Danio rerio: one gene and its partner. The main gene of each other region encodes a partner of the protein of the gene in region 2 in a complex. Links are inferred from orthologs where the notes say so. Each region holds a gene or a part of one and is shown on either strand. Other genes may lie near its edges.

Region 1 (5,394 bases), on a different chromosome or scaffold from region 2:
GAAAAGAGGTGAACACCAGCTTACTGCCTTCTTAATTTGTATAATAAGTATTTGAATACAGCTGATGAAAGAATTACTCAAACCTGTGCATTAAATGTGCTGTTGACCAATGGCTGTCTGAATGAAACAACAATGAAAGACAATCCGAAGATAGTAAAACGCTAGACTGAACTGTAACCCTGCAATTTTCATGTTATTCTTTTATATTTATCATGTTTATTATTTTAGTGATATTATCCTTATTGTTTATGTATACTTAATTTTTTAAGGTTGAGAAATCAAAGACGTAAGACACGTTGTTAACACTGTGATGATAGCACGTCAAAGAATCCACTTCTCTCGTTTTTGTGTGGTTAACGAACCGTCATTGTCATACCTATATATATATGTCACTACAAATAAACATTTTCATAATGCTTTTTATCTATATTTTGCATGTACGTCGTGACTAAAGCCAAATAAAATGAATGAAAATCACCCATCTCCCTTTCTAAAACAAACACTTGTTCTCTGGAATTGAAATTCAGACAAAATGCTTGATTTTGTTTTTTATTTAAATACAGAATTGCAAAAATTGGGCTTAAAAAATGTCTATGCTAATCGCAGTAACACTACATGAGGTGTACGTCGGGGAGATGGCTATGCATAATGGAACAAAGGTCAATAAGAAAGACAGAAAGAGATGGTGTTGTAAATAGCTGGGCAGAGAGAGACAGAACAATGGGGAGATGAGTACCAGAGGGAGGATGTGTGTGTGTGTTGATGTTATGTGCGAGCACTTCGCTCTGTCTCCGCTAGACACTCCCTGACGAGAGCACGTGCGTGGATGATACCTGAGGAAAAACACAAACACATATTAAGCCACATTGAATAAAACCTCATGATAATAAAAACACTCTCAATTATTAATTTGAGCAATGTCAGGCCATTTGCTTTTATATTTTCATAACAAGTCTTAAATGCAGAAAATTTAACATTGCCATTAGATGGCAGTGCATGTCAAAATTATTCCGTAATATATAGCGACAGTAACACAATATATACCTTACAGCTTAACACTGTATTAAAAATGAGTGATAAACACCAGACTTCATTTATCTGGCGGTACAAAAGCTTAACAGAAATTCTAGGGCTTTTCACACACTTAGGAAATATTGAACACGCTTCACAATTTACCCAGGGTTAACAAATCCTGAGTAATAATGTACGCTTAAGCTGCGGTCACACATTGGACTTTCGTCCTCTTAGACTTCCATTCATACGCACGCGAATGCGTCAGATCAGAAACGCAGGGTCATGCGTCAAGTTTTACAGGTCGCTGCAATGCAAAGTTCAAAATTGGTGAACTCTGACCTGCAAAAGCACATCACTTGACTGCGTGGGACCAATCAAGAGTGAAAACATGACCTCTTTGAACAGGAATTGAAAACATGGACCAATCGCTTGCTTTTTTAAATGGCTAATCATCTTGTTTAATCCCGCCCCTTTTCGCATTGCCACACGACAGAATTTCGCACACACAAACTCTAGTGTGACCACAGCTTTACTCTTGACATTAAAACTAGTGTTAATGTACTTATTTAAATATTTGCTTAGTCAATGTTATTGATTGAAAAATGCAACTTGCTTAAATGTGATAGCATTGTGCATCCTCATGTTACATTGATCACTGATATACATTTTCCAGAATGGTTTTCAGACTGCAAAAATTCCAGAACTAACTGTAGGAGCTGGGACGACTAATCGGTGTCGTTTGATTCATGGATCAATTCTGAGATATTTGTAATATGTCGAAATTCTGTCTGGAAGCAATTCTGAGCTTAATTTTTAACAGCAGATGGTGCTTTAGGCCTGTAGGTCTTATAAATCTCCTTTTCCATCACTGTTAAACACCAAGCATGTATTTTCACTACCTGACACAAGTCTTGCTGCTTATCCAAGTTTTAGGAACAACAAATAGTAACTTGACTTCTGGTTGATCATTTGGTACCAGAAGTGGCTTATATGAAAGGCAAAGGCCTCTAGATTACACTTATTTTACCAAAATAAAATATGATCATGCCTTGATTTTTAATGATTTAATTAGGACAATAAGCTCTGACAAAAGTCTTGTCACTTAACAGAAATAATGTCCAGTATAGAATATAAAGTCATGGTGCAGTGGAAAAAGCCAGCAGCGAGCTCTCTGCAAATCTCACATGGTCGCCCACTAAAGCCAAGCAGTGCTACGCCCGGTCAGTAACTGGATGGGAGACCACATGGGAAAGCTAGGTTGCTGCCGGAAAAGGTGTTTGTAAGATCAGCAGGGGGCACTCAACCTGCAGTCTGTGTGGGTCCTAACGCCTCAGTATAGTGAAGGGGACTCTATACTGCAGCTGCTCAGTGAGCTCCGTCTTTCAGATTAGATGTTAAACTGAGGTCCTGATTCTCTGTGGTCATTAAAAGCATGTGGTCTGTCCACCATGGCCTCCTAAACATTCCCATATCATAATTGGCTTCATCACTCTGTCTCCTCTCCACCAATCAGCTGGTGTGTGGTCTGGTGCAATATGGCCGCGTCAGGTGGAAGCTGCACACGGGTCGTGGATGAGGAGATCCCCCACCGATGTGTAAAGCCAATTGAGAGTCTAGAAAAGTGCTATATAAATGTAAGAAATTAATATTATTATAAAGAATTAATATTGTGTATGTAATATTGTGACTCCCAAGAGCTTGGACGACTGCATCCCTACATCTCTGCAATGACTCAAATAACTTATTATTAAATCCATCTGGAATGGCAAAGAAAGTGTTCTTGCAGGACTCCCAGAGTTCATCAAGATTATTTGGATTCATATTCACTGCCTCCATCTTACCCCAGACATGATCAATAAAGTTCATATCTGGTGACTGGGCTGGCCAATCCTGGAGCACCTTGACCTTCTTTGCTTTCAGGAACTTTGATGTGGAGGTTGATGTATAAGGACTGCTATCCTGCTGAGGGATTTGCCCTCTTCTGTGGTTTAGTAATGTATCGGGCAGCACAAATGTCTTGATATCTCGCGCTATTGATGTTGTCATCCACTCTGCAGATCTCTCGCACGCCCCCATACTGAATATAACCTCAAACGTGATTTTTCCTTTATCAAACTAGACTGATTTCTGAGAGAATCGTGGGTCCAAGCGCGTTCCAATAGGTCATCTTTAGTATTTATAATGATTGGGGATGCAGTTCAAAACATGATTCATCTGAAAAAAAAGAAATCGATGTTCTGCCACTTTTCCAAAAGATCAACCAGAGATCAAGTTTTTTTACTCTTACAACTGGGATCGACGACAAAACTTTTGTCAGGTAGTGTATAAGGCTTGGCACAAAGCAGCATTAGGAACAATAAGTCAGAGTAAAATGCAAAAGCCTTTCTTAGAGCAGGCAAAAGCAACACTGCACGAACACAGAACTGAAAAACTGAGAACAACTCTCTCGACTGCCCTTAGGCTCACATTACTCCAGGGGGCTAAACGTCACTGACTGTTACAAATGTGCTGCATGCTGTACTGTGCTCAGAAGGCTTTGGAGTACCTCTCTTCAGTCTCTCCATGGCACTTTTGCTGCCGGCGTAGGTAGGCCGAATTTCACGGCTCATCTCCTCAATGACGGAGAGCAGCTCACTATAGGTAGATCCCTGGGACACTTTGACCGGCTACAAAAAACAAAACAAGACAGCCGTTGAGGAAGTCTGTGTGACACCCTATTTACAAAAAAAAGTGTAATACACACTACAAATCAAAAGTTTGTAATTATTCAAAAAGATTTATAATTTATGGCTCAATACTTTGAATTTTAGGGGAATTTAAAGCCATTCTGGCTATCTTTATCCAAATGTATGTTAAAATGTTAAATTATGGGTTGCACTTTCAGTTTAGGAAACTAATATTCAAACAAATATTTTAAATAATTATGTTGTTTTACAAATGATTCTATCAGGTCACACTGATGACTGAAATAACGATAATGAAAATTCTGCTTTGCCTCTAAAGAAATAAATGACATTTTGGAATTAGGACTTCCAAGCAATCAAGCAATTGCTGATAAGAGAAGAGTGCGACATAGCAGAAAAACAGTGGAGCTTTTATTATGCCACAGTCAACCTCTTCCTTTTTTCCCCCAAATTGTGATCATGTGAAGCAGCACAGCAGTTTTATCATACTAAATAAATTTTAGGCTTCTGTTATACTGCTGCTCTGATTAGTCTAATAAAATATGCGACATAAAACAAGGACCGTCATTTTCAGTTTTCTATAAAAGCAAAACATAAATCAAGGGTATATGTACAGTGGCCGAGAGAGCTCAATGTGCTGCAATTTAAGTAAACACGCGCAATTACAAAACTCGCAAGCAAATTTAGTAAAGATCCTTATCCATTTGACAGCTGTGCTGCGAATTCTCCCAACGCAAACATAAAAAAAAATAAATAAATAAAAAACGCACTGCTTTTTTAACACAAAAAAAATAATAAAACAGCTGCATTCTCACAACGCAAACAGTTTAAGAAAACGCACTGCATTTTTTACAACCCAAACAATTTACGAAAACGCACTGAATTCTCAAAACGTAAACAATTTACGAAAATGCACTGCATTGACACACTCAAACAATTTACAAAAACGCACTGCATTTTGTCACTCAGTTTACGAAAATGCACTGCATTTTCTCACAATGCAAACAATTTACGAAAATGCACTGCATTTTGTCACACACAATTTAAATAACGCACTGCATTTTGTCATACTCGTTTTCAAAAATGCACTGCATTTTTTACAATAAAACAATTTATACGAAAACGCACTGCATTTTGTCACACTCAAACAATTTACGAAAACGCACTGATTTTGCTCACAACACAAAAAACTTGACTCAACGAAAATGTTTCAAGGTGACCCAAAAACTGTGTCGTAAAAGGTTTGCGTTGTGTGAAAATGCAGCGTATTTTATTATTTGTTTGCGTTGTGCGAAAATGCAGCACGTGTGCTGTCAAACCGATGAAGATCTTTTCTCAATTTGCTGCCGTTTTTTGTAATAGCTATTTTTTTGTTTTTTGTAGTTTCTTAAATTGCAGCACGTTCAGCTCTCTTTGCCACCAAATGTATGACATAATTAGCATGGCAACACTGGACACGGTTGTGTCAAGTTAAAACTGCTCACTTCTCTCAATTTCTACTTAACATTTGAGATAAAGCAAGTACACAAGTTAGCAAAAAAACACTTTTACTGGGTTTTGGATATTTTAATTACAAGAACACTTACATTTAATCTTAACATAATATGAAACCAAAACATACACTGCCTCATTTATGCCCCAATGCCTATATAAATGTGTTAATTGTTCATAAAATTGTATTATAAAAATGTTAAAC
Region 2 (6,520 bases):
AAAACTAAAAATCGTTTTTTATTCAAACGATACATATACAGTTAGCCTACATATATTTTCTGATCTTATTCTGATCTAAATAAAAGTTGTGCAATATAAATTGAGATTATTTTCACTGAAATGCACAGTAGTTGGAATGCCAGTATGGAGGAGTGTTTTAAAACTCAAAAGATAACACACCAGTGTAAACGTAGCCTGTGTTTTTGGGGTCTGATCTCCCGCAGGACTAATGATCCATGTGAGTCACTGCTGATCCGTTACCATGACAACCCTGAAAGCCATTCAGAGATTAAAGTAGTGTGTGTGTGCCAGAGTATGTGCACGCGTATCAGTGTGCACTTGTTTATGCTACACTGCAGGTTACGAATGTCACCACAAAGATGGAAAAACATGAGATTTTTGACATTATGAAGAAAAAAAAAACATTCAAAATGATGCTAATCTGAAAGAGAGAAATGCAAATGGGTGATCTGTAACGGGTAGGTTTAGAGTCTGCATAAAGTCCCCATAATTCACTGAAACCTAATGTGTGTGTGCGTGTGTGTGTGTGTGTGCATCTTATCGCATGGGGGTTGGTGGAGATTCTAATGGGAGATTTTAAGATGAGTGAATGAAGCATTGCAAGTAGAATAGGAAGAATGTGGGCAGCAAACACACACACACACACACACACACAACCCGATCGCTCACCATCCAAGCCGTTGTGCTGCTCGTAGTTGCGCTTGCCCAGGATGGTCGGCGAGCCGTTGTTGAGGATGGGTGTGGATTTAATGGGCGTCAGGCTGCCTGTGGAAATGGTGACTCCTCGTGGAGGGTCTGCTTTGGGCGGGAGAGGGTGCGCCTCTGGAAAAGGTTTTGAGAAGATATTATTAAAAAGGGATCGTTGATGAAGATCTAATTGAGTGTTTAAAGAGAGCTTCGCTTACCGAGATATCTAACCACAGACTCTAAAGGCTTCCTTACTGTCTGCTTTAGAGATGCAGGTTTTTTGGACATATCTGGCAACCGCACAGCACCTGGAATATGTAAATGAGAAAAATAAACACCATGTATTCGGACTAGGCTCAAATTAATATGGTAAATCAGTACAGTGTCAAAGAAGCATTTTTGTTCATTCAGTAAAGTGTTAAAAATGCTTCATTTGTTTACACAGAAAGACCTGAACGCACCTATTATGACAAATTAGGGCATCGATATCACAATGTGTGTTCTCTCAATTGTCACATCGCAGTTAATTTATAACCTGAGCTATTTAAGCCATCTGGTGAAACTGTATTCATATAGCAATATATATATATTCATTCCGCTGTGGCGACCCCAGATAAATAAAGGGACTAAGCCGACAAGAAAATGAATGAATGAATGAATATAAATACATATATGTGTGTGTGTGTGTGTGTGTGTGTACACACACACACATACACACACTGTATACTGCCGAAAAACTAAATATTGCAATGGCAGATTTTTCCAATAACATGTAGCCCTATGACAAAAAAAAAATTTAATACAGAAAGGCCATAAATATTAGTGTGTAATATGCTAATAACAATAAAAAACATTAATCAAATTTAGAATAAAATATTTAATAATCAATTATCTTTTTAAATAATTTGTAAAATTAACAATTACTGAGGACAAAATATCAGATAATTCTATTTCTATTGCAAAATTGAGGTTGTCAAATAGTATTTATTTCCAGTGATTAAAAAAAAATAATAAATCACCTTATCACCTTTTGATATTTTAAGTCCAAATTGTATAACATTTACTGATTAAAATATTTATTATAAGAGGCATTAAAAAATAACAAGCAGATGATTTCCCCCAACGAAATGAAGGCTGTCAAATATGCTTTTATTTTTCATATTTTTAATGAAATGTAATACTTCTTAAACTCATTACAACAAATAAAACTTAGTTTTTAAATACATTACATTACATTAAATGAATGTAAACAAAAGAGTAAATAATATATTTTTAATTTTTCCAATAATTCTAATATTTAAAAAACATTCATGAGCTTTATGAAATTATATTAATAAAACAGGACAATTAATATAAAGAATATAAAAATCTAATTTTTATATTAAATCTAATTCAAGCAAACTTTTAAATTCCTTAAATGTTGCTAGCAATTATAGAAAAACACAGGGATTTTCACAGAAAATGTATCAAAACAATAATAAAAATATATTTTTTTTAATTATAAAGTTCAAATTGCTAAATGTAATACAATTATGACCTCCTAAAATCTATATATATATATATATATAGACAACACCGGCATCGCGATCCTCCGCCCGCCCCCATTGCAAATTCGCTCACGAAAAGTACACACTCAGGCCCTGTTTACACTGTCTTTGTTTTTAAATGGCATTTTAGAACGACAACGATTTGAGATCCACAATGGCGTGTAGCATTTCTGAGCAGCCCTCCTTCCTCTCTACCTCTGACACACACACACAGACACAGACGCACACACACAGCCATGGGCTCCGAGACAGCGGGTTCAGGCAGTCAGAGGATTAGTAGACTGCTTCAATCTTTTACTCACTTGTCATTTTAGCGCACACCTCAGATACTGTTGGCTGGTTCCTGTTAGTTGTGCGTCTTTTTTACCGACGCCACTATAACGACACAGATCACTGCCTTTTCACGAGTCCCGCAGAAAAAGTGATTGACAGGTGGTAATTATGTGTGTATCTTGCCTTTATTCATTTACTGTATGATTTGTTTATGGGTAAAACAAAGACCATGCAGGTCAGGTAGTTTAAACGGTAGGCTACAAATAATTAATTGGTCATTAATTAATTAATGATTCATAATCGAAAATCGAATCGTGCCTTTAGAATCAAAAATGTAATCGAATCGAGGATTTGGAAGATCGTGACACCCTTAATATATATATATTATATATCTTAACAATTAGATTTTAGTAGTACTTTATAATTAGTTTTACACAGTTTACATCAGCTCATACTTCACACATAATTTCCACAATAAGCAACTGCATCTAATGAACTGAATCTTCAAATATGTGCCTACTCACACTCAGCTTTGATAGCGATGGTGTTGACAGGTGTGTACGGGTGTCTGGCCAAGTATTTGGATCTCAGCAGGTCCTGGCAGACGCGTCGAGCGGCTTTCGTCATCTGAGACGTGTGCAGGTAGAAAGCCTGCCTGGTCTTAACGGCAAACTTGGGGCTTCCGCTGTGTCTCACGGGCAAACCGTGAGGACTCTGAACACAGACAGAGATATGAAAGTCAAGCTCTTGCTGACAGAAGAATCTAAATACTGCATATCTTAAAGGAACGAACTCCACTTTAAACATAGATGAAAGACAGTTTGGCTCATTCGCTCTTTCAGGGCGTTCATTTAACAGTCACAAAGAGGTGTAATAAAACAGAATTGCACAGCAAAAGAGAAAACAGACTGAATAAAACAGACTTGGGGGCAGAGAGAGAAGAAGAGGATTTCATGTCAAGAACTGCAGCTTGTTTTTTATTTTTTTTGGAGAACATCCACTTTTCACCCACCATGTTGTTGCGGTTGGGTCCGGGCCGCTCTCCATCTAGTCTGGTTGGCATCTTCAGACCTCCGTACTTTTTCCAGTAGGTCCAGCAGGAGGCACAGAGTCGGCACTGCATGTTGGGAGGACCCCACGAGTACCACTGATACGAGCTGGTGGCTAAATATAAAAAAAAAAACAATAACACAAATTAAGATCCTTCCTACATCACTCTCTGCTCTACTCGCTGTAGTGTGAACCTTTACCTGAGCAAACATTAAAGGTAGGAAAGGCAAGGCAAACTTTATTTATAGAGCACAATTTTACACAACCGTAGTTGATCCAAAGTGTTCTACAACAAAATCAACTAGACAATAAAACAAAAAAAAACTGTTATTAAAAATACAAGGGAATGTATATGTTCAAAAGTAATACTAAAATAAAAATAAAAAATAACATGCATGCGTCACTCAAAGGCAAGAAAGTAAAAATAAGTCTTTAATTTAGATTTAAAAGCATCCAATGAAGGAGAAATCCTGATGTTTAGAAGGAGACTGTTCCAGAGCCTTGGGGTCGCAACACAGAAAGCTCGATCACCTTTTGATTTGCAGCGAGACCGAGGGACAGACAGAAGAAACTGGTCATGGGATCTTAATGGTCTACAAGCTGAATAAGGCCTAATAAGTTCACTGACATAGGCCAGGGCAGAATTGTGAATTGTGTATAGAGCAACCAAAAACTAAACCACTTGAGAATGAGTAAATAAGTAATAAGTAACTATTCACTTTTGGGTGAACTATCTATTTAAAGTAAACAGAACTAAAAAACATAAACTTAGTCTTAATTTTAAATTAACCGAAACAATCAGTGCTTAGGTTAATTTTTAAGATGGCCTGTAACTGAAAACATAAGGGTCGCACAATGGACCAAAAGCGGCGCAATTGTTGTTTGCTAGTTTCAGCTTCAACGTTTTGCCCCACGCTGTTTAAATAGCAATTGCGTTTGCGCTCTTATGTGCGACCATAGGCGTTCTAGTCTAAAAAAGGTTTTAGACCATATGGGGCATAGCATGTGTATTAGGATATAACTCGTTTATTGACCACACTTCGTTATTATTGGTCATTTATTTCTTTGCTGGAAATTAGAACCAAATTTAGAAGTAGTGTTGAAACAAATCTTTGAGCTTAACAAACTAAATTAATTATGAATAGGCTAATGGATGTCTGTGCGTGCAACATGTTTTCTTAGCGAAGGTAAAGAATGAGGAGGCTCATTCTCTCATTCTCACATGGCAGAAGAGCTGTTTAACTGTTTTCTCGTCATGGTGCAACGCAACTGAATCTTAAAGGAAATGGGAGAAGACACTCTAATTGGTTTATTCTCAAAACACACCCATAACTCATTAAGAGAATAAGTTCAACTCTGTTAGACCATGCACCGCAGAGAATTTTTCCATCCTTAAAATAGCAAAAGTGGATTTTGACACGTCCTCAATGCTTTTGCGCCCTGCGCTTTGGACTTTGCGCATGGATCGTCAAAATAGAGGACCAAGTCTTTAAACTGTCCACTTCGAAAACAAATCTTGCTGCCTTTATTTTTTTTAGTTGAATCAAATGAACTTTTCTAGTCATCTCAACCTAAATCAATTAAACTGACTAAAAATCTTAAGTTAAACTTTGTGGGTTTTAAGTTGAAAACTGACTAGTTTTCTAAAAAAAAGGTAACATTAAGATATTTGTTGTCTTTTTGTCAACTTTTTTTAGTGTACATACAGTATGCATTTATGCATGTTTATTCATTAAGTACACTGAACTTTTTTTTCAAGAAGTACTTAAATATTTGGTCAGACTTTATTTTGATGGTCCGTTTGTTGAATTTAAGTTACATTGCATCTACATGCCAACTAATTCTCATTAGATTATAAGCAGACTGTTAGGTTGGGGTTAGTGTAAGTTGACAAAGTTTCTTAGTCAGTTAAATGTCTGTTGAAAAAGCAGTATTAACAGATATTAAGCAGACAGTCTACTAAAACTCAAATGGACCATCAAATTAAAGTGTTACCAAAACTGTATCTTTTATTTCAGCTTAATATTATTTGTTTTATTTTTATAACTAATAAATGTTAAGTTCAAAACACTTATACTTGATTATGAGCTCAACTAAGAAATATTTTGACCAATGTAAAATTTGAAGGTTACTCACACAGTAACGACGTGTCCCACAGCACTATAGCCAGGTGCATAATGGGAAATGGTTTAGAGTTAGTTCATGTTATATTATTTAAAATATATCGGTTGTTTTATTATAAACGTTGTGTGTTCATGTTTGAGTTGGCTTCTGTTTTTTAAGCCCAATATTTCATTTATTTCTAAAATATTGACCATCACCATCAATGAGGGTAGTGTGTAATGCAGAGATGCCCAAATAAGGGCCTGCGGGCCAAAGTTGGCCCATTGTAACCTTTGATTTGGCCCACCATTCCATCTGAGAAGAATGGAGAGGATTGGGGTGAATGCTTTTAAAAAATGATCGTCATTTCTGATTGAACGTAATCTATTTTGTTCGTTTTATTGCTGAGCTACAAAAAAGCTAACTGAAATTAAAGTTCCAATTAAAAGCTGTAAATGAAGCAGATTTATTTATTTTTTTATGTAAATGATGTCACTCGACAGATAGAGAGCCATACAGAAGACACTGGTGAGCAAATCAAGACAAAAACTAGTGTAACTCCATTCTGTTGTAAATGAGATTGTTTTTGTATATACTGTAATAGGTTCATTATTAAATGTTAAAGAATTAAGCTATATTAGTTTATAAAACGCAACGCTTTCTAGTTATTTTTTCAAATATTATTCAATAAATTAGGAAATTACCAATGGCAACTATATTTACCTTCGGCCCACTGGCCTAACAGTCTTTAAAAAACATTGGCAAATGATTTATTTTTTATTGGCTAAAGTGAACAAATTTAGATGTGAAACCATTACCCTATTTTTTTTTATTGGAAG

The links.
Region 1: mta1 (region 2) and cdk2ap2 share a complex: the UniProt entries of both Homo sapiens proteins name them as parts of the nucleosome remodeling and deacetylase (NuRD) repressor complex. The link is inferred for Danio rerio from reciprocal best matches to the Homo sapiens genes MTA1 and CDK2AP2.

The regions. Positions count from the first base shown.
Region 1 is NC_133176.1:43,109,690-43,115,083, forward strand, and holds the end of cdk2ap2 (cyclin-dependent kinase 2-associated protein 2), read right to left. Parts: intron 3,681-5,394; coding exon 3,560-3,680; intron 834-3,559; coding exon 766-833; 3' UTR 537-765; downstream 1-536. UniProt on the Homo sapiens protein: Acts as a component of the histone deacetylase NuRD complex which participates in the remodeling of chromatin.
Region 2 is NC_133192.1:39,467,506-39,474,025, reverse strand, and holds part of mta1 (metastasis-associated protein MTA1), read right to left. Parts: intron 3,693-6,520; coding exon 3,541-3,692; intron 3,243-3,540; coding exon 3,053-3,242; intron 1,017-3,052; coding exon 927-1,016; intron 844-926; coding exon 691-843; intron 1-690. UniProt on the Homo sapiens protein: Transcriptional coregulator which can act as both a transcriptional corepressor and coactivator. Acts as a component of the histone deacetylase NuRD complex which participates in the remodeling of chromatin.